Linked DNA regions of Canis lupus familiaris. The protein of the gene in region 3 purifies or fractionates together with the protein of the main gene of each other region. This does not show direct contact. Links are inferred from orthologs where the notes say so. Each region holds a gene or a part of one and is shown on either strand. Other genes may lie near its edges.

Region 1 (4,655 bases), on a different chromosome or scaffold from region 3:
AAAGTATCATAATTGGTTGTCCAGCCTTTGGAATGAACAGAACACTTCTCTTGAAGACAGAGTCTCCTATGGCTAACGATACTATATTGTACATTTGAAAGTCTCTAAGACAGTAGGTCTTCATCTGCTGACCACATGTGCTCTCAGGCTACAGAAGAGATTTTGTGGGGATGTTGTTTTGGTACTGTCTTAGCAGCAGACGAGGGATCCCAATCCCAGTGGTATGCTACAGATACTGGCTTCTTCTGACCATCAGGAAAATTAGAGACATACACCATACAAGAATGCATTCTCTGTTCAGGACTGTTCATGCCTAATATAGGCTTGTTGGTTCTTGGGATGCTATAACTAAACCAGATGTGAATACTCAGGTTTGCAGAACCAAGGGAATTCCAGGCACCTGGTCAAGCACAGGTTACCTGGGAGGCTGTCCCTGTGATCCTCAGCTGCTGCAAACTCATAGACAGGTGCCTGGCCACAAGCTGTAATTTCTTAGCAGTGTGGCAGCCCTGGCTGATCTCACCTGCTCTGTGTCAGATCGGTTACGCTTCCCCTCAGCTGGAGCTCCATCACTTCGGATCACTTTGGGCTTCCGTTTTTTGCTCGATTCTGATGACATGGTTGTTTGGTGAGGTCAGAAGGAAACAGCAAAGACCTGTTAAAAAGAGGAAACTTAAGATTTTTTAGAGTTAAAGATTTTCCTGGAGTCAGAATACTGAAATCTAACTAGTAGTTCTGGTTACTTACGCCCTTGGTAACTCAAAAAAAAAAAAAAAAAAAAAAAAAAGTCACTGAACCCTCCAAAGCCTGTTTAATCCTCTGTAAAAATGGGGAGGGCTGCCTGGGTGGCTCAGTCAGTTAAGGCCCTGCCTTCAGCTCAGGTCATGGTCCCAGGGTTCCCAGGTCCTGGGATGGAGCCCCACACTGGGCTCCCTACTCAGTGGGGAATCTGCTTCTCCCTCTCCCTCTGCCCCTCCTCCCCGCTCATGCACTCTCCCTCTCCAATGAATGTATATAATCTTTAAAAAAAATTAAAAAGGAGAATGAGATGCCCAGGCTCAGCTGGTTAAGTGGCTGACACTTGATCTCAGGGTTCTAAGTTCAAGCCCTGCATTGGGTTCTGTGCTAGGAGTGGAGTTGATTCTCTTCCTCTGCACCACCCTCCCCCCATCCACACTCGGAGCTGTCCCTCTCAAAGAAAAGGGAGGAATCATCCCTCAGCCTGACCCAAACAAACTCATCTTCTCCAGCTCCATCCGCTTTAAAGGCACCACAACCACATCCCTGACTAAACTCCTCAGCCTAGCATATATACCTGGTCCCAATACTATCGATCGATCACTGTGTGCTGGACCTGATTTAAGTACTTTAAGGGTATGTTCTCACTTAATCCTTGTAAGAAACCTTTCAGATAGAACAAGTACCATTTTATGGTTGAGAACACTGAAGTTTAGAAAGGTGAATGAGGTGCCGAAAGTCACACAGCTAGTATGCTTAAGCTTGGGTCCATCTAATGCCACAATAGTGCTCTCAACAACTATATTATTGTGACACCAGTGTGTCTTGCTACCACCTTACCCGGCAATGCCATCAACTCTCCAGATGGCCCTAAGATTTAAAAGAATAAAACCTACTTTTCATGGGGCTTTAGGGTCACAAAGCATCCTCCCCCTGCTACGTTTTCTGGTTGTCACCACAGCCCCGAGGTGGCAGCACAATCCCCCGTAGCCCAACAAATCTCTCCCCAAGATTTACTGAAGGAACCAATGGCTCATGGTAGTTACAGAAGCCCAGTTGGAGTCTCCACTCTACCATTCTACCGCTGGGAGTCCTGGGCCTGCTTCCGCACAGATCAAATGAGAATAACAGTCCTTACCTCAGGGGTTGCTGTGGACATTGACACAGGAGGCACTCTACTGGGGAAGGTGATGAAGATGACCTAGGCGTGGGGCTTTAGATGGTACATGGGCGATCTGAAATAATGCTGAACACCTATGGAGAAAGTTAATCCCTTTTCAATTCTTTTGAGAAACCTCCAATTGCTTCAAGGAGAACATTTCATTTCCCTAGTTTGTCTTTAACGTCTATGAACACCAATGTTCCTTTGTTAACAAAAGGACTCTCAGAGCCTTAGACAATGAAATCTAGCCAAAATCAACAATGTTTTCATGTTAAACATATTAATTTTATCATTACCTTCTGCATAGGACAAGTCTCCATTTAGGGGAGAAACATTAAAATTTCTCTTAAAGGAAATTCACGTTTAAGAAGTAAAAGGCGACTCGATTAAAAACCTTTAGCAGAGGGATCCCTGGGTGGCGCAGTGGTTTGGCGCCTGCCTTTGGCCCAGGGCGTGATCCTGGAGACCCGGGATCGAATCCCACATCAGGCTCCCGGTGCATGGAACCTGCTTCTCCCTCTGCCTCTCTCTCTCTCTCTGTGTGTGACTATCATAAATAAAAAAAAAAAAAAAAAAAAAAAAAAAACCTTTAGCAGAGTCTTAAACAGTAAATTGACTGGGCAAAATCCACGAAGGTGGGACGCGAAAGGCTGAAATGTGGGAAATCCTGACTTCGGAAACCCAGTAGAGAGAGCCTGGCACACGTAAGCAAGCACACAATAAATGTGAGCTGTTACCACCACCACCTCCGACATCGACATCATCGGCACCTACAGGCTCCCATGCCGGGCCCGACGCAGCTGCAGCCCGACATTTTCACCTGAAGAGATTAATCAGGCGGCGCCGAGCGGCTGGAGACCCCGGAGCGTGAGCACCGAGAACTCGACTCGGCCCCCAGCTTGGGGACGTCTGCACCTCGACCCCGGAACGCCCAGCCCCGCCCCGCCCCTCCGGCAAGCCCCGCATCCCCGGCGCCCTACTCACAGCTCGGAGTCCCGAACCCGCGGTGGCAGCGAGCCGCTTCCGGCGGCAGACAGACTTCTTCCTGTACACCATAGAGAAGCGGAAGAATAGAGCGGCTGGCCGGAAGCGAGGCGCGGAGGCCGGAAGCGAGACGCGGAGGTCCGAGACGGCGGCTGACGCGTGGTCCCGGCAACAGCTGGGCGGCGCGGGAACAGCTGCTGTGGCTCCGGGGTTCTCAGGGCGGGTCCCAGCTGCCAACACCCTCAGGCTGTCCTCCAACACCAAGAAACCGAGGCTGGAAGGGCAGATTAGCCTCGTTTAGTCTTTCCTCAGCGCCTACAGCTACATTCAGCAGCCAACAAGCGCTCTGCCTAGCGTTAGCCGAGTGAATGGGTTCGTCGTGTGCCCGAGGTAACCCGAGAGAGTGGTAGTGCCAAGATATGAACCCTTGTGGATTTGTCTTCATAACCTGTATTCTTAACCAATGTCATAATCACCCAAACATCCCACACTTCGGAGGGCAGCAAGTCTGGGAAAGGCATTCATTCTCCTAAACTCGTTTCTTTCCACATCAATAGTTTCTATTCGATTTGCCATGGGCAGAGTCACAACTCTTATGCGGCATTTGACAGCTTCAAGTGTTCTTCCACCCCTGGTATGACTTCTACAGGTAGAGTTCAAGACTTTTGGTGTAAATTCCACTTATCTGGAGGTAGTAACACCGATGTCCTGAATGCCTTCTGCCATGGGGGTAGGCCCTCCCAGATCCTCAGGGAACACTCTACCCTCAGGGGTAGAGTGGGGATGGGCAGAGTAAATCAGGTGGAACCAGGAAACTGGCCCTGCCTCTAGCACCTGATAGAATTCCTTGCAGATGAAGAAAAGACATCATGGTTTATAGTAAATATTTAATTGGTTCCATCAGTGACTCCACTACAAGTTTTCCTGAAAGGGAAACAGAATCAAGCGACCTAGAGGTTCATGAGGTGTAGGGATCACCAAGGAGGCTCCCAAAGTCACTGACCCCATGCCACATACCCAGTGGCCCAGTAGAATGCGGGTTGGGCTGATAGAATATGAGGAGAGAAAGGAATGCATGGTGAAGGAAATAGGCCCCAGCCTTTTCCTTCACCTGCAGGAATGAAAAAAAAAAGGGCAGGAGACTCCCTACACAGAAGGGCTGAAACTACACAGTCAAGTTCTCAATCTTATATTGGGAGAGATGGGCCTCTTTCCAACTGTCCTTGTTTTAGGAACCTCTCCTCTGGTGGTCTTCTGTAACCTCTATTCTATTTTCCTGTTTCCGTTTTCCAAATTCTGCAGTTCAAATCCAAATTCTGAATTCTGTTCTACCTTCTAGGTACATGTCCAATTTTGTGACCCAGATTATTCCCAGCTCCCATCCTCTTTCCCAGCCTTTCTAAGTGGAATATGAAGGACCTCGTCCTGACGGTGCTAAATTGAAGGTTTTCCCTTTTACTTCTTGAGGCAGTTTTAGGCTTTTCCCTGACAGGAGGGACTTGGCTCAGACTTTACAACCAGTAGGTGGCCCAGTGGAGACCAGGGAATTCCAGAGAGCCAGGCCTGGCTAGCTCATCTCTAACCACTGGACACATTACATTTTGTGCAACTAAAGCTTAACTGAGGCCTTCCATGGTGATAACTGGAGACTGGTGGCCTTGAGATGAAGAATCTTAGGGGGAAATGTGAGAAGACATAGAAGGTTGCTGTTCTTCATTCAGAGAAACTAAAAATTGCTTCCAGCACAAGGGATGGGGTGAACAGGGAAGGT
Region 2 (4,854 bases), on a different chromosome or scaffold from region 3:
GAGGCAGAGCAATAGGCTGAAGGAGCCCCATGCAGGACTCGATCTCAGGACCCCAGCGTCACAACCCCAGCCAAAGGCAAACACTCAACCACTGAGCCACCCAGGTGCCTTGATTTGTTTTAAATTAATATTCAGGGAATATGTCTGCAAGTGAAACCATTGAGAGTTCTCTGTACTCTAATTCTTTGGAATGTTCACCTTTCTTGTGTATTTTACAATATTGGTCCTATTCTAAAAGCCAAATCTATAAATGGATTTGCTAATTATCTGTTGGCACATTAACTTCATTTTTTAACATTTCTAGTTGCTAGTTTATATTTAAGAAGCTCTGTTTTCAGACAAAGGAAAAGATTTTGGGTAATATATTTACAACCCCATTCATTCTAATAAAATGAAATGCTAGATACAAGAACTCTGAAGTTAGACTACATGCAACCAAGTTTTCAAAGAGGGGAAAGGAGTCAAATAAATGAAGCCTAAGTACTGGATGATGATGTGTTTGTCTATTTAAAATATCCGATTATGTCATACAACTGACCACCTTATGCTCTCTTCATATAACAGAATACAATTATAAAACTACACTGATTTGGATCTACTATAATTCAAACAACATTCCTCACGTCATGGAGTAACTACATACAAATAAGCCCTAACAGTTTTGAAAAAGCTCTTCAGGAACAATACACATAGCATGGATTATGCAAATATACACACAGTGTATCCAAAATCTCATTTTGACAACGTATTTCAACCTCCTACATCACTATTTTTCTCCAACCACTGCCAAGAAGCCAATCAGAATTCAGATTTTCACCTCCTAGCCCTAATACCACTCATTCTAAGGTAAAAGCAATAATAAAACTGTCAAAAACAGATGTAACAAGGAAGCTGAGCAATCTATGAAGATGACAGGCCCTAAATAAGTAAACAAAATAGTGAACTGATTTATCAGTTTGGGGAGGTTATCCTAATCTAATATAGATGAAAACGATGGTTTAGGTAACCTCCCGTTCTGCCTTCCCTGCACACAAGGAACTTAATAGCTTAATTTGTTAAATGGCATGTACAAGGATCTGGAAAATGTTCCTAACAGTTAAAAATGAATGTTTATCAAATAGACATCTCATTTAATAAACCAAAAAGCTCTCACTCCAAGCATATGCTAGAAAGGCGAGGGGGAGTGAGGCGGGAGCTGGGGCCTGCAGTGGGGGGACGGCGTGGGAGGGGCGACCAAACTAAATATGAAACATAGTCCCCACTCTTCAAGGGTCTCTCAATTCGTTAGAGTACAAGAGTATGCAGCAGTAAGTCAAAGACCAATTAATTGCTAACCTGAGTGGTACAGACTTTAAGAGCAAGAGCTGTCCAGAGAAGTTTAAATATCTAAAGATTGGAATAATAATATTACTTTTAATAGCTATCACTTGAGCACTTACTATAAGCCAAGTGCTTTACAGGTATTATTTAGTCTTCACAACAATCCTTTGAATAGAGTACTTATTAATCCCAATTTACTCAAGGGGAAACGGTCAAAGTGGTTAAGGAACTTACCCAAGGTCACTCAGCTAGTTAAGTGGCTAAGACCGCCGCTTATCCAGGAAATACAATTCTAGAGCTCACACAGTTAAGACTTGGTAAAGCAGCGCGAGTGCGAGTGCGCGTGGAGCCGGGGGGAGGGAGGGCGCGGGAGGGGAGAAGGAGGAGTCCATACAAGCTGGCAATATCACACGCGCAAGATCGGGCAACGCATTCCCCGGGTTTCGTTCGAAGTAACGAAGTTCCAAAGATTCGTTATCTTTCGCGCGAGCAACCGTAAACTATGGGGGGAGGGGGCGGCCGACCGCAAAAATGGCTAACGAGAGTTAGCTCATACAGCGTTGAGCTTTGGTTAATAAAGCGATTCAGAGAACGAAATTAGAAATAAATTCTTTGTTTTTGAATCTGGGGTTTTACTGCTTAAACGATTCCTTTCTTTCCGAGGGAGCGCGAACTGAAATTTGGGGCGAGGAAACCGCGGGTATGGCAAATTACTGTTTTCTGTATTACCAGGGGAAAAAAACAAGTTTTATGACTAAAGGGAACGCGTTATTCCAGGTACTTGAGAACCCTGAGAGTCGCCAAAATTAGTTGCAGTCCCAGGACAAAATGGGGTTTAAGAAACATTTAATGACGAAAGTTGAATCAAAACCGAAATGGCTCTAAAGTGAAAAGCCGGAGCAAAGAAATGCCGGTAGGTCTTCGTGGGAAAGCGGCAATCCCAGCTACACTTCTCCCACGGCCAGCGGCGCCGCGCGAGGCCGGGACAATCCGAAAGACCGCTCCCCGGGAGGACGAGACGTGCCAACCGGGGCTCTTCGCGACGCCCCGGGCATCGCGGCAGCGGGCGGAGAGGAGGGGAGGGAGTCGGGACGGTTCGCCCTCCTCGGACTTCGGGCAAAGGAGGCGTCGGGCTCCAAACTGCAGAGTCGAACGGGTGCAGAGTGAAGAAATGGGACACAAAGATGTAAAGTCCGAACCCCCCCTCCCGGCGCGGCCCCGTAAAGAGAAAGGAGCCAAGTGAGCTCAAGCGAAGAGGGGGACAAAAAGACGGAGCGGGAGCGCGTAGACCCGCAGGGGCGAAACGGGAGTTCTGCTAAGACACTAAAGGAAGACAGCCTACGGCGGGCAACGAGGATTTTGGAGAGGCCAGAGAAGGAAGGAGGTCGGCGGCGGTTACCAGCACCTCTCCTCCCCGAGTTCGAAACTCCTAGCCAACCCTCCACACCCGCCGCCCGGATGGGGGAGGGGGCACATCTTCCCCCCACAACCTCTCCCCACAAGGGAGAGCACGGCTGACGCCCGGGCCCGGCCCGGCCGTGCGCCCGCCTCCAGCCCGGACACTCACAATTCGCCTCTCCCTGATTTCTCCCAGTTCTTTATCCACTCTACGGGAACCACCACAGTTGCGGCCGCCATCTTCCCCTCACTAGTAGCAGAGGCCCGGATGTGTAGCACGCGAGCGAGGGGTCAAAGGGGAGCACCGCCCACGGGGAATGCCGGGAGCTGCGAGTTCGGTTTTCGGTTTCCCGCCCCACTTTCTTCCCCACCCGCGGAAACCCGAGGCCTGGCCTCCAACCAGGTGGCTGAGACCCGTGGGTCCTTGGCCGTGACTACGCCGACCGCGCCCTCTACAACCCTTGCTCTGGCTTCCCTTTAGAACAGGAAGAATGCCTTCCCCAGACCGACACATAGCCCTTGTCCTCTTCGGTAGTATCTACTCCAGGCCACTAATTCAAACATGTATTTTTCAAGCACCTAGTGTGTGCTAGACACTGGGGACAGAGAAGCACTAAGTCATTGTGCCTACCCTCAAGGAGCTCACAGTCTGTGGGAAAAACTAACATAAGATCAATTTACAATACACGCTACTAACTGCTGAGATCAAAGAAATTCATCAGAAAATAAGCAGCCATTTACTATGTGCTAGACATGCTAATACAAGGGATACAAGCAGAAACTGACCCCTGGAAACACTTGCCGCCATCAGCGCTGACACCCTACTGTAATCAGCCTCTGTCTCCGTAACCTTAGACAAAACTAGGGGGCGCAATTACCATAAGAAACAACTTGTTTACATTACAGAGTCTCGAAGTATCTCCCGACAAAATACTATTTCCAAGGCGAAATAGGAACTATGGTGGGAAAATATGGCGGACACCGTCCCAATTATGATGAAAACTCAGCACACCCGGGAATGGGCATCATTTGCCTCCTGATAAGGTGGTAAGAAAAGCACTAACCAATTTTGTAGCATTCATGACACGGAAATTCGCAGAACCTGAATTCAATCGTGAGGGAACATCAAACAAACCCATAGAGGGACAGTCTACAAAATTACTGGCTTGCACTCTTCAAAATCATCAAAGTCACTAAAGACAATCTAGACATATTGAGGAACTCCTCCGGATGAGTAGAAACAACAGACAGGACAACGGATCCCCAGCCAGAAAAAGATCATTTTTCCTTTGCTAAGGGCATTATTGGGACAATTGACAAAATTTGAATATCTGTAGACTAACGATATTCTACCAATGTAAATTTCTTGTTTTTTTTATACTTGTACTATGGTTAATGTGAAAGTCCTTGTTTAAGAAAATACTCGCTGGAGTACTGAGAGGTAATAGGACATTATGTTGCAACTTACTCTAAAATGTCTCAGAAGAAAACCCTAGGATGATTAAGAAAATGTAAAATATTAACATGCTAGGAGTCTAAGTGAAGGACATGCAGGGACTTTCTGTTCTATTTGTGCAACTTTTCAAAATAAAAAAGTTTTTTAGGGCAGCCCCAGTGGCGCAGCAGTTTAGCGCTGCCTGCAGCCTGGGGTGTGATCCTGGAGGCCCAGGATCGAGTCCCACATCGGGCTCCTTGCATGGAACCTGCTTCTCCCTCTGCCTGTGTCTCTGCCTCTCTCTCTCTCTGTGTCTCTCATGAATAAATAAATAAAATATTTTTTTTAGGTTTTTTAAAATACGGGTTTGGCAGAAATTTTAGAAAGCATAGGCAAACCAAAGAAGGAAACCTTATCACACATATATTAAAGTATGAACTTTAGAACTAGTACCTTCTAAATTTGGCAGTTTTCACCAAATGGATCAGGTTCATTTGCATTGAAAAGATGTTGGAGGGATAGGCTGTATTCAGAATAAGTTCTGGGAAAATACTACATTGTTCATGATTGTTTTTCATCAGCTATTTCTAGTCTCCTAACGTCCTGTCTGATTTTGAAGTCCTAAAGCCACTAATTAGAAAATACACACCGTTTAGTTTCAGTGAAATCTGTTCGTAAAGACCCTATGCCATTTCAAGGAG
Region 3 (4,586 bases):
ATAAGCATGACATATTATTATATGCCCAATATAGTTAAACACTACTATTATTCAGAATCATAATGCGAAATTCTGTTCTAAACTTAACTGCACACTTTAAAATCAAAATGAATGTCTAAGTTGGATATCACCAATTAAAGCAACAAATGCATCCTGACTGTTTATAACAGGGAAAATAATAGGTTAGGCTCTGTAAAGAGTTATAGGAAAGCTGGTAATTTAGTAATAGCAATCACTAGATAAAAGGCAATACTCCCGGGTACTGAGAATAATTCAGCTGACTTGGCTTTCAAAGTTTAGACAGCCACAGAATCAGGAAACTCTATTTTTCTAAGCCTGCAACCAGTGAAGAATAAAGACATTTATACTAATAGCCTACTATATGCCAAGTATTTTTCATGTTTTGTTTCATTAAAGTGGACACAGCATACACATTTTTAAAGCATAGACATAGCATAAAAAAAAGCATTCCCAGTACAGAACTTTTTCTTAGATATGGTTAAGCACAGGCAACTAGGTACATGGATTTTACCTTTTCATAATATAAGAACACAAATGCTGCCTGTATGTTTTCAGGATGAATGAACACATCATTGTGTAATCCAAAATTTAAGTTAAAAAAAATGGGGACGCCTGGGTGGCTCAGCAGTTGAGCATCTGCCTTGGGCTCACAGCGTGATCCTGGGGTCAGGATCGAGTCCCACATCGGGCTCCCCACAGGAAGCCTGCTCTCCCTCTGCCTAGGTCTCTGCTTCTCTGTGTCTCTAATGAATAAATAAAATCTTAAAAAAAAAAAAAGTTTTAGTCAAACAACAAAAGAAAAAAGGAGGTAAAGAGTAACTGGTGTTTCACAAGTTCTAGGGGCCACATCCATTAAGTTCACCTGCTTATCAAAATGAATAAATAAATTATGGTGTCTTACCTTGGAGGTAACATCAATTCCGGTGATGAAGCTACCAGCCTTGTTTTCATATCTTCTGCTTGTGTCCTAACGCACGGAGAAAGATTAAGAAATGCTAAGAGAACTGAAGAAGGGGCAGCCCGGTGGCTCAGCGCTTTAGCGCCGCCTTCAGCCCAGGGCCTGATCCTGGAGTCCCGGGATCGAGTCCCACATCAGGCTCCCTGGATGGAGCCTGCTTCTCCCTCTGCCTGTGTCTCTGCCTCTCTCTCTCTGTCTCTCATGAATAAGTAAATAAAATCTTAAAAAAAAAAAAAAAAAAAACTGAAGAAAAACACATAATAATAGACAGCCCTGCAACAGATTCCTTTTGGATAGTCATTCCTTTCAGCAATCCTTCCTCACTCTGACAACCCTTTATTATGAGGAAGTGTGTCTCAGTAACTTCGGGTAGTAAGCAATCAACCACTCTAACAAAAAGTCTTTTCTAGATCAGATCCTGTCCCAAACCTTAACCAAATCCATCTGCTTAAGGTATTTATGTAAATGAAAATATACAGGCTTTCATGAAAAAGGTCCAAGTTAAGTAAGGCACACTCACTCATCTCCCCAGCCCACATAGGACAAATTCATCGTATCAGGCCACCAGGTGGAGCACAAGTCTTCACCAAAATGCAGAAACTCCAGACTCACCTAGACCTCCTGGGAAAACACAGCACAGTGCAATGAAAAGAGGATGGGATTTGGAAGCCGAAGACTGAAGTCACAGCTCTGAGATTCACTAATTACACAACACTGTACAATTCCTTTCACCTCTCCGGGCCTGGGTTTCCTCCACAGTATCTGCCTACCTTCCTGACCTCTTTAACGGCTCTCCCATTTGCTCTACGGAACTTACCATTTCTCCAACAAAACAATTTTGTTCCCATCTCAGAGCCTTTGCACCTGCTGTCGCCCCTGCTGGGAATATGTTCTGCACGTGGTTGGCTCCTTTTTGTCAGTCAGGGTTCAGCTTAAATGTCAGTATCTGAAACCACCTCCCTGACCATCCCCTACCATTTGGCTTCTTGCTCTGCACACCTTCCCTGTCTTCTGCACTCCTGTCCCGTTAACGTGTTTTACTTTCTTCAAAGCACTTACCACTATTAGAAATTCTTTATTTGTGTCTTCCAACTAAAACATAAACGCCAGGGAAGACTTTGATCTTGATCTTGACGAGTGCCTACATTGTGCCTGGCACATAGTAGGGATGCGGTAACCACATGTTGCACCGAACGAATAAAGGATGCGATCTACTTCACAACTACAGTGATACTTAAACAACGTAACGTAGTAAATGGTAAAAAGCCACCATGTTAACTGTTGTTACTAGGGTCCTTTATCGTTTACTGTCTTTAGTGATCCCATCTTCTTTCCCTTTTCCCACAATTTCGGTTTAAAAAGCCAGACTTTGCTGACATGGTAAAAAAGGGGTTCATGTCAGACGAGAAACCGAGTACATACATAAGAGCCATGCAGGCCCGAGATCAGGCCTCAGAACCCAACACAGGACCACCGAACCAAAAGCAAAGCCCCTCTCACTCCCCCGCTAGGTGCTAAGAGACGGAGCACGCCCCGCCCCCGCTGGTTCGCTTGTTTGGGTCTCACTAAGGGTCACGTGTTTGCGGCCAGGTGTAGGTGCTACAGAGCAAGGAGAATGGGGCCGGGAGGACTCTCAAGTCACAAAAGAAACCCGAAGTTTCTGCAGCTGACAAGTCCGACCCTCCAAGAGGAGCCGCGAGCGCTCCGCTGAACCAACAGGAGCTCCACCGGAGACTCTGACGCCGGCGTCCCGGCCCGGGGCCCCACCGTGATTCACCTCGCGCCCCCAGACAGCCCCAGCCCGCCCTGCCCGCCGCCCCTGCACAGCCTGGCTCGGAGGCGGCAAAGGGGGTGTCCTCAGCACCCCCAGGCTCCCCCATCTCCAGCCCCTCCACACCTATTTCCGGGCGCCCGGCGCCCCTTCTCCCGCTCCCCGTCTCTCCCCGAGCCCGGCGCCTCCGCCCCCTGGGCGCTCCCTCCCCTCTTTCCCTTTCCCCCGACTTCCCCGGCCCCGGCGCCGGCCTCCTCCCCTTCCGGCCGCCGGGCCCCGGGGGCCCCAGCTCGGCGACCTCCTCCTCGCCCCCGCCCCCAGCCCGTACCGGGATCAGCTCCTTCAGGGAGCGCCGCACCGGCACAATCTCCAGCTCGCCCTCCTCCACCTCCATGGGCTCCGGCTCGCCACGCTCCAAACCAGAGTCCGCCTGAGGCGACGGGAGCCCCAGGGCCGGCCCCGCCGGGGCCTCTGCCTTCACCGACACTCGCAGGCCCCGTACGGCCGCCATAGCCGCCTGCCGGCCGCACCACTGAGAGCCCGCCTCGCACACTCGCCGGCTAGAGCGCCGCCGCCACTGGCCATAGAGCAGCGGCCGCTGCTCCCTAGAGTGTCGCCTGCTGCGGCTAGAAGCGCCACACCCCTCCCCCTCAGCGCCGCCGCCCCCTGGTGGCGGGAGGGAACCCAGGACAGCTGGAGCGGGACGGGGTGAGGAGAAGGCGGGCCCGAGTCGGGGGACTGGGGACCGGGCCTGCGGGGGGGGGGGGGGGGGGGCCGCCGGGGGGAGGTCCCTGCGGTCGCGCTTCGAGGATAGGCACGCCTTCGACAGTGAACCTGTTATAAAAGGCAGCGTTACTGCATGATCACTATGTGTCAGTGACTGTTCTGAGTGCTTGATATCTTACAACTCTATTTAATAGGTGCTGTTATTACTCCCATTTCATGTATGAGGAAACTGAGGCATAGAAATTTCACGGTGACAGGCCATTTATTTTACTTATCATCTATCTATCTATCTATCTATCTATCTATCTCCACGTAGAGCATGGAGCTCAATGGGGGGCTTAAACTCAAAACTCAGAGATCAAGACCTGAGCTGAAATCAAGAGTGGGATGCTCAACTGAGTGAGCCACCCAAGCACCCAGGTGACAGGCTATTTAAGCAATAAAAACAATCTGAGCCTAAGGAGTCTGGCTCCAGAGCCCAGAATGAGCCTTGGTCTATCACTTCTAGCCAGTTGGTAGGTTTACAACCTACTTACCTTGCCAACCTTTGTCTCTTTCGAGTCTCCCAATAAGTGGCCCATTTTATATACACAGATATTGAGACTTCAGAAGGGCAATGAGCTGCCCAAAAGCCAAGAGCTTAAACCCCAATTTCCTGACTCCCCAGAGCTCAGTCCACTGTAAACTCCTGAGTATGTTCTTGCAGCATTTTTAAAAAGATTTTATTTATTTTTTTTTAATTTTTTTATTCATGAGAGACAGAGAGAGAGAGAGAGAGAGAGGCAGAGACACAGGCAGAGGGAGAAGCAGGCTCCATGCAAGGAGCCTGATGTGGAACTCGATCCCCGATCTCTAGGATCACACCCTGGGCCCAAGGCAGGTGCTAAACCGCTTGAACCACCCAGGGATCCCTCTTGCAGCATTTCTAACAACCTGGTTGGGAGACAGGGGCAAAGAATAATTTTCAAGGGTCCTCAAGGCTTCCAGAGGGCACCACTGGTCAGTTTTTGCTTTGAGTCCTGATTTTGCACCTTCCCTTCCCTCCCTTACCTTAGGCTAGATTTGGCCCCTATCTGGGCCTGTCTTCCCATCTGAAGAGTATGTAAGTGG
Region 4 (4,867 bases), about 46 Mb from region 3:
TGAAAGGTCAGATGCCTTGAAAAACGAGGGAGAGGAATGGAAGCGCCTGTTCTATATTCACGTTCAACAGCCAGGGCAGGGCTGAGCGAGCACACGCACGGACACCTGAGACAACGTGAGCAAGCACCAGGAATGGGGGGACACTGAGGGCTTATCGTCACGTCCGGTGTGACAGTGCTACACTTAGTGACTGGGCTGGAGGGGAGCCGGGCCCCAGAAGCCACTTCCAAGCCAGGACGTGAACACAGCCCTTAGCAGCGCTTAGCAGCGACGGTGGGCGCTGGCCGAGGGGACGGGCACCCCCACGACAGCCTGCGTGCCCGCTGGAGAATCGTCCCGTGGCGCTCCAGCGTCCCCCGGCCCACGGGCGTCACGGCTGACTGTGAGCACAGTAAAAAGCCACACGGCCCTCTCTTACAGAACTTTCCATGGGCTCCTCACACAATCATGGGCCCAAACCACCTGCCTTTCTTCTGTCAGCTTGTGTTGAGCAGAGTGACCCCAAAACCCAAGCACCTTGCGCAGGTGTTTCCGAGGAGATGCCCTGGCCAGGCCCGCAGGCAAAGCTCGAGGGGGAGGGAGCACAGGGCACACTCACAGTCTGGGCAGCAGCCATTAAAGGCCATCCGGCAGATGCCACAGTTCTCGTCGTTGGCCACCCAGAGCCAAGTAGCCACGCCGTTCCAGCACTTGATCTTCACCTTCATGGCCGCGGAGCCTACAGGGGGAGGAGACATCGCCGGGCCACACTCAGTCTGCACAGCTACCCATCTAGGCACCCAAGGGGCGCGGCTCCCAGCCGAGGGTCAGCCGGGGCCGGACCTGCTGCCAGAGCTCAGAAACCCTGAGAGCTCTGCACCAGCGGCAATGGCAGGGCCCGGGCCACCCTTGGGAGAACAGCGCGCCCCAGAGCCAGAGTTATCGGCGAAGACTGCAGGGTCCGCCCTGCGTCCCCAAAAGGGCACATGGGCTTCGCCAGTAATTCCAAAAACGTACCATACGGGTTTTTTTCAAAGAGATACGACTAAATCGGGGTTGACAAATAGAGACCCCAACCCAGGTGACCACGAGTTCACGCCAGGGAACCACCACCCAGCCCACTAGGCCTGCGCCACCACCCCAGGGTGAGGGTGCAGAGTGGGGGGTGCCGGGCAGGACCCGGGGTTGCGGGGGAAGGGGTGAGGGCAGGAGCATGCAGAAGGAGTGCGCAGAGGCCAGGAGAAAGTGAGGTGCAGGGAGGGACCAGGGTGTGTGGAGAGTGGGATGTGGGGAAGCGGTGGGGGGGGAAGGGCGGAGCGGAAGGCGCAGGGGTGCGAGCAAAGAGTAGGGGAAGGGGTAGGGGTGTGGGGAGAGGGTGGGGTAAGGAGCGGGGGTGCCTGAAGGGGGTAGGGAAGGCGCCGGGGTGCGGGGAGAGGGCAGGGGAGACGCAGGGGTGCGGAGGGAGGCGCAGGAAGTGGTGGGGGAGGTGCGGGAGCGCGGGGAGGGCGCGAGGCCGGGGCGCGGGGAGGGGGGGGGGAGGGGAGGGGAGCCGCCCGCCCCGCCCCGCGGCCCCGCCCACCTGCGCCCCCCGCCGGCCTCCGCGCGCCGACCCCGCCTTCCGTCGGCGGCGCCCGCGTGGGAAGGTATAAAAGCGGCCGCGGCCGCCGCCGGCACCTCAGCTGCGCCCGCCGAGCCCGCCGTCCGGCGCACGCGCCCCCGCTCCCGCCCGCCCTGCCCGCCCTCGCTCCCGCCCGCCGCGGCCAATCCCCGGCGGCCCCGGCCTCGGTCCCGGCAGGCCGCGCGCGGCCCCGGAAGTGACGCGCCGACGTGCTGACGCGCGGGCTCGAGCCGAGGCCGACTCCGCGCCCGCCATGGCCGACAAAATGGACATGTCTCTGGACGACATCATCAAGCTGAACCGGAGCCAGCGAGGCGGCCGCGGCGGAGGTCGGGGCCGCGGCCGGGCCGGCTCCCAGGGCGGCCGCGGTGGCGGGGCGCAGGCCGCCGCGCGAGTGAGCCGGGGCGGCGGGCCCATCCGGAACCGACCGGCCCTCGCCCGCGGCGCGGCGGGCGGCGGCGGCAGGAACCGGCCGGCGCCCTACAGCAGGGTGAGCGGGGCGGCGGGCCGGCGGGCGGGGGCGCGCGGGGGCGCGGGCGGCGGGCCGGGGGGCTCGGGCCGGGCGGGCGGGGGGGCGCGCGGCGGCCGCCCGGGGCGGCGGAGACCCTCCGGGCCTTTGTCTGGGCCGGGCGCTGGGCCTCGTGGCGGCGGCGGGCGTTGGGCGCGGCCGCGCAGGCGGCGGGAAGCGGGTCGGAGGGAGCGGCGGCGCCCGGGACGCCGGGGGGACGGCGGGCGGGGGCGTGCGGGCGCCGCAGGGTCCGCGGGAGACGCTCACGGGCCGCGTGCTCCTGTGCTCTCCTCCCCCCGCAGCCGAAACAACTTCCCGACAAGTGGCAGCACGATCTCTTCGACAGCGGCTTCGGGGGCGGCGCCGGCGTGGAGACGGGTGGGAAACTGCTGGTGTCCAACCTGGATTTCGGAGTGTCGGACGCGGATATTCAGGTGAGGGGCGGGCGTTCGTCGGTGAGCGGGTCACCCGCACCCGGTGGCCCCGTTGAGGACGCGGCCTGAACCGCCCGCGCCGCACCTTAGGGCGGGGAGCCCTAGGGGCCCAGGGGCAGCCGCCGGCCCTCTAAGGGCTGCAGGAGTGCAGAGCGGAGGTCCTGGCCCGGGAAGTGCGGCCGGCAGGTCGGGGTGTCGGAGGTCGGGCCCGGCCTAGCGGGACGAGCTGCCGCTCTTCCTGAGTCGTGCCCCGCGCGGGGGCGCAAACCCCCTGCCGGAGCCCTCGCTCCTGGCGGGAAACCTCGACCTAACCTGAGCGGTTTCTGTTCCTGCCTCGCTTAGGATCTGCGTTTTGTTTACTTTGTGCTTCTTTTAACGGTTTGCTGGGAGGACAGAGATCTTTTTCTGTGGAAGCCTACGGGCAAAGCACAGACGCAGGACGGCGCTGGGCATGCTTTTGTTCCGCTGGCCTTGAGCCCCCGGCTCCATGTCGTACAGGACCTATATCCTGTCTTTCTTCCCCTCTTTTTAGTGGCATGATTCTCAATCCCGACTTTGGTTGAAGCTTCTTTGTTTTCTTTTTGTTGCTGTTGTTGTTGTTTTGGTTTTTGGGGTCTTTTGGTTTTGTTTTTTTGGGGTGTTTTTGTTCTTTTGGGTTTTTTTGTTTGTTTGGATTCCAAAAGCATATAAACTTGTTTTTTGATTAAGTAAAGACATTTTGGGGATCAGTCCCAGAGATGGCTGGGTCAGGGTGCTGGGCCTTCCTGGGTTCAACTTCCCCAGAGCCCAGCTGTTTGACTACCGTGGGAGGACAGAGCAAGGCCGGTGAGCACTCACGGTGTCTCAACACTTTTTTTAAGGTGGTTTCTGGCATCCACTGGAAACCGCTTTTGGTGAACTCCACTTCCCGCTGTGTGCCTGCGGCCGGAGTAGCCCCACACTCTGGGTTCCCTCTCCAACTCCCAGCCTGCCTGAGGTCAGGGCAGTTTCCATGGCAGCGCTTGACTTCAGCCTTTGCGGCAGGCTTGAGTAGGAGGAGAGGGAAAGGTGAGCCAGAATCTGCCCTGGGGGAGGGGCTGGGTCAGGGCTCCCGAATCGACGGGCCCTGTGAGCTGGTGTCCACATGTCGGATAGCATCCCTTGCTCTGTGATCTTGGCCTTTGCGGTTTCTTGGTACAGTCCTTGGGTGTGTTGTCAGTTTTCCTCTGTTGAAGAAGATAGCGACTTAATCTTGTTCCCTTCACTGGCGGGTTCTGTGGTCCTTTACCTGCATCCTGGTACTGATGTAAGGTCCCCACACTGGCAGGAGCCCTCAGACCCAGCTGCTCCGGGAAGTGGCTGTCCCATCTGCCCCTCCCTCCCCGTGGTTTCCACTACCAGTGCCCTGCCCCAATACGTGTCTGCCTCCCAGGGAAATAACCCCCCCTCAGCAGCTCACCCTCCCAGGGACTGTCCTGGGCCACAGGAAGGGAAGCACCTCACTAACAGCTGCTCTTTCCGGCCCCCAGGAACTCTTTGCTGAATTCGGAACTCTGAAGAAGGCAGCTGTACACTATGACCGCTCCGGGCGCAGTTTAGGAACAGCCGATGTGCACTTTGAACGGAAGGCAGATGCCCTAAAAGCTATGAAACAGTACAACGGCGTCCCTCTGGATGGTGCGTCTGAGGTTGGACCCGGATGCTAGAGGGGCTGCGTCTCGTGGAGTCGGGCTGGCCGCTATCCGTGCAGGAGTATGGCTTACCCCTGTGGCTGAGGACACTTTGCATTCGCCCCTTTGTCTCTCTCTTCCATTCCGCCACCTCTCATGCTGCCCCACACATCCGGACCAACCTCTTGTGAACCCCCATCCAGCAAGCTACACCCTCCCCTCCTTCAGCTCCTTCCGGAAGACTCACTTCTGTGAAGCCTTCTCAGAACCGCCATAGTACACCTCTGAGTGCGGGGCTGTAGTCGTAAAGACAAAGGTACCGGTTCTTCTTCCGTCAGGCCACCCACACCTTTCCACCCATGAGCACCCCGGACACCTGACCAGACACCCAGCTAACTGGACTGAGAAGGAGCGAGGAGGTTTTGGTGGGGTTGTCATTGGCACCATCTCGTTCTCCCACCAGTAGTGCTCGGCCACTCCCCTTGTTGGGAGCATTTGGAGACACAGCCCCTTTCCAGTGCTTGCATGGAGACCGGGGTGTGGTGCCCCTCGGCGCGTTTCGAGCCCTCTAACTGCATGTGTCCTCTTGTATTCTTTGCCACAGGCCGCCCCATGAACATTCAGCTTGTCACGTCACAGATTGACACACAGCGGAGACCCGCGCAGAGGTGAGTTCTGG

What was found. Proteins that work in one complex are often made in the same cells at the same time.
Region 1: the proteins of NCBP3 (region 3) and THOC5 purify together in Homo sapiens (co-immunoprecipitation; 3 studies listed by BioGRID and IntAct, with this or other methods). This does not show direct contact. The link is inferred for Canis lupus familiaris from reciprocal best matches to the Homo sapiens genes NCBP3 and THOC5.
Region 2: the proteins of NCBP3 (region 3) and THOC2 purify together in Homo sapiens (co-immunoprecipitation; 3 studies listed by BioGRID and IntAct, with this or other methods). This does not show direct contact. The link is inferred for Canis lupus familiaris from reciprocal best matches to the Homo sapiens genes NCBP3 and THOC2.
Region 4: the proteins of NCBP3 (region 3) and ALYREF purify together in Homo sapiens (affinity purification with mass spectrometry; 4 studies listed by BioGRID and IntAct, with this or other methods). This does not show direct contact. The link is inferred for Canis lupus familiaris from reciprocal best matches to the Homo sapiens genes NCBP3 and ALYREF.

Annotation. Positions count from the first base shown.
Region 1 is NC_049247.1:23,188,677-23,193,331, forward strand, and holds the start of THOC5 (THO complex subunit 5 homolog), read right to left. Parts: upstream 3,033-4,655; 5' UTR 2,885-3,032; intron 2,740-2,884; exon of another isoform or gene 2,721-2,739; intron 1,993-2,720; 5' UTR 1,877-1,992; intron 656-1,876; 5' UTR 620-655; coding exon 524-619; intron 1-523. UniProt on the Homo sapiens protein: Component of the THO subcomplex of the TREX complex which is thought to couple mRNA transcription, processing and nuclear export, and which specifically associates with spliced mRNA and not with unspliced pre-mRNA.
Region 2 is NC_049260.1:95,958,728-95,963,581, forward strand, and holds the start of THOC2 (THO complex subunit 2), read right to left. Parts: upstream 3,033-4,854; 5' UTR 2,959-3,032; coding exon 2,888-2,958; intron 1-2,887. UniProt on the Homo sapiens protein: Component of the THO subcomplex of the TREX complex which is thought to couple mRNA transcription, processing and nuclear export, and which specifically associates with spliced mRNA and not with unspliced pre-mRNA.
Region 3 is NC_049230.1:47,600,295-47,604,880, forward strand, and holds the start of NCBP3 (nuclear cap-binding protein subunit 3), read right to left. Parts: upstream 3,304-4,586; 5' UTR 3,262-3,303; coding exon 3,079-3,261; intron 1,601-3,078; exon of another isoform or gene 1,500-1,600; intron 989-1,499; coding exon 923-988; intron 1-922. UniProt on the Homo sapiens protein: Associates with NCBP1/CBP80 to form an alternative cap-binding complex (CBC) which plays a key role in mRNA export. NCBP3 serves as adapter protein linking the capped RNAs (m7GpppG-capped RNA) to NCBP1/CBP80.
Region 4 is NC_049230.1:1,221,008-1,225,874, forward strand, and holds the start of ALYREF (THO complex subunit 4), read left to right. Parts: upstream 1-1,835; 5' UTR 1,836-1,850; coding exon 1,851-2,087; intron 2,088-2,407; coding exon 2,408-2,539; intron 2,540-4,047; coding exon 4,048-4,195; intron 4,196-4,792; coding exon 4,793-4,856; intron 4,857-4,867. Other genes in the region: ANAPC11 (anaphase-promoting complex subunit 11), read right to left, coding at 599-707. UniProt on the Homo sapiens protein: Functions as an mRNA export adapter; component of the transcription/export (TREX) complex which is thought to couple mRNA transcription, processing and nuclear export, and specifically associates with spliced mRNA and not with unspliced pre-mRNA.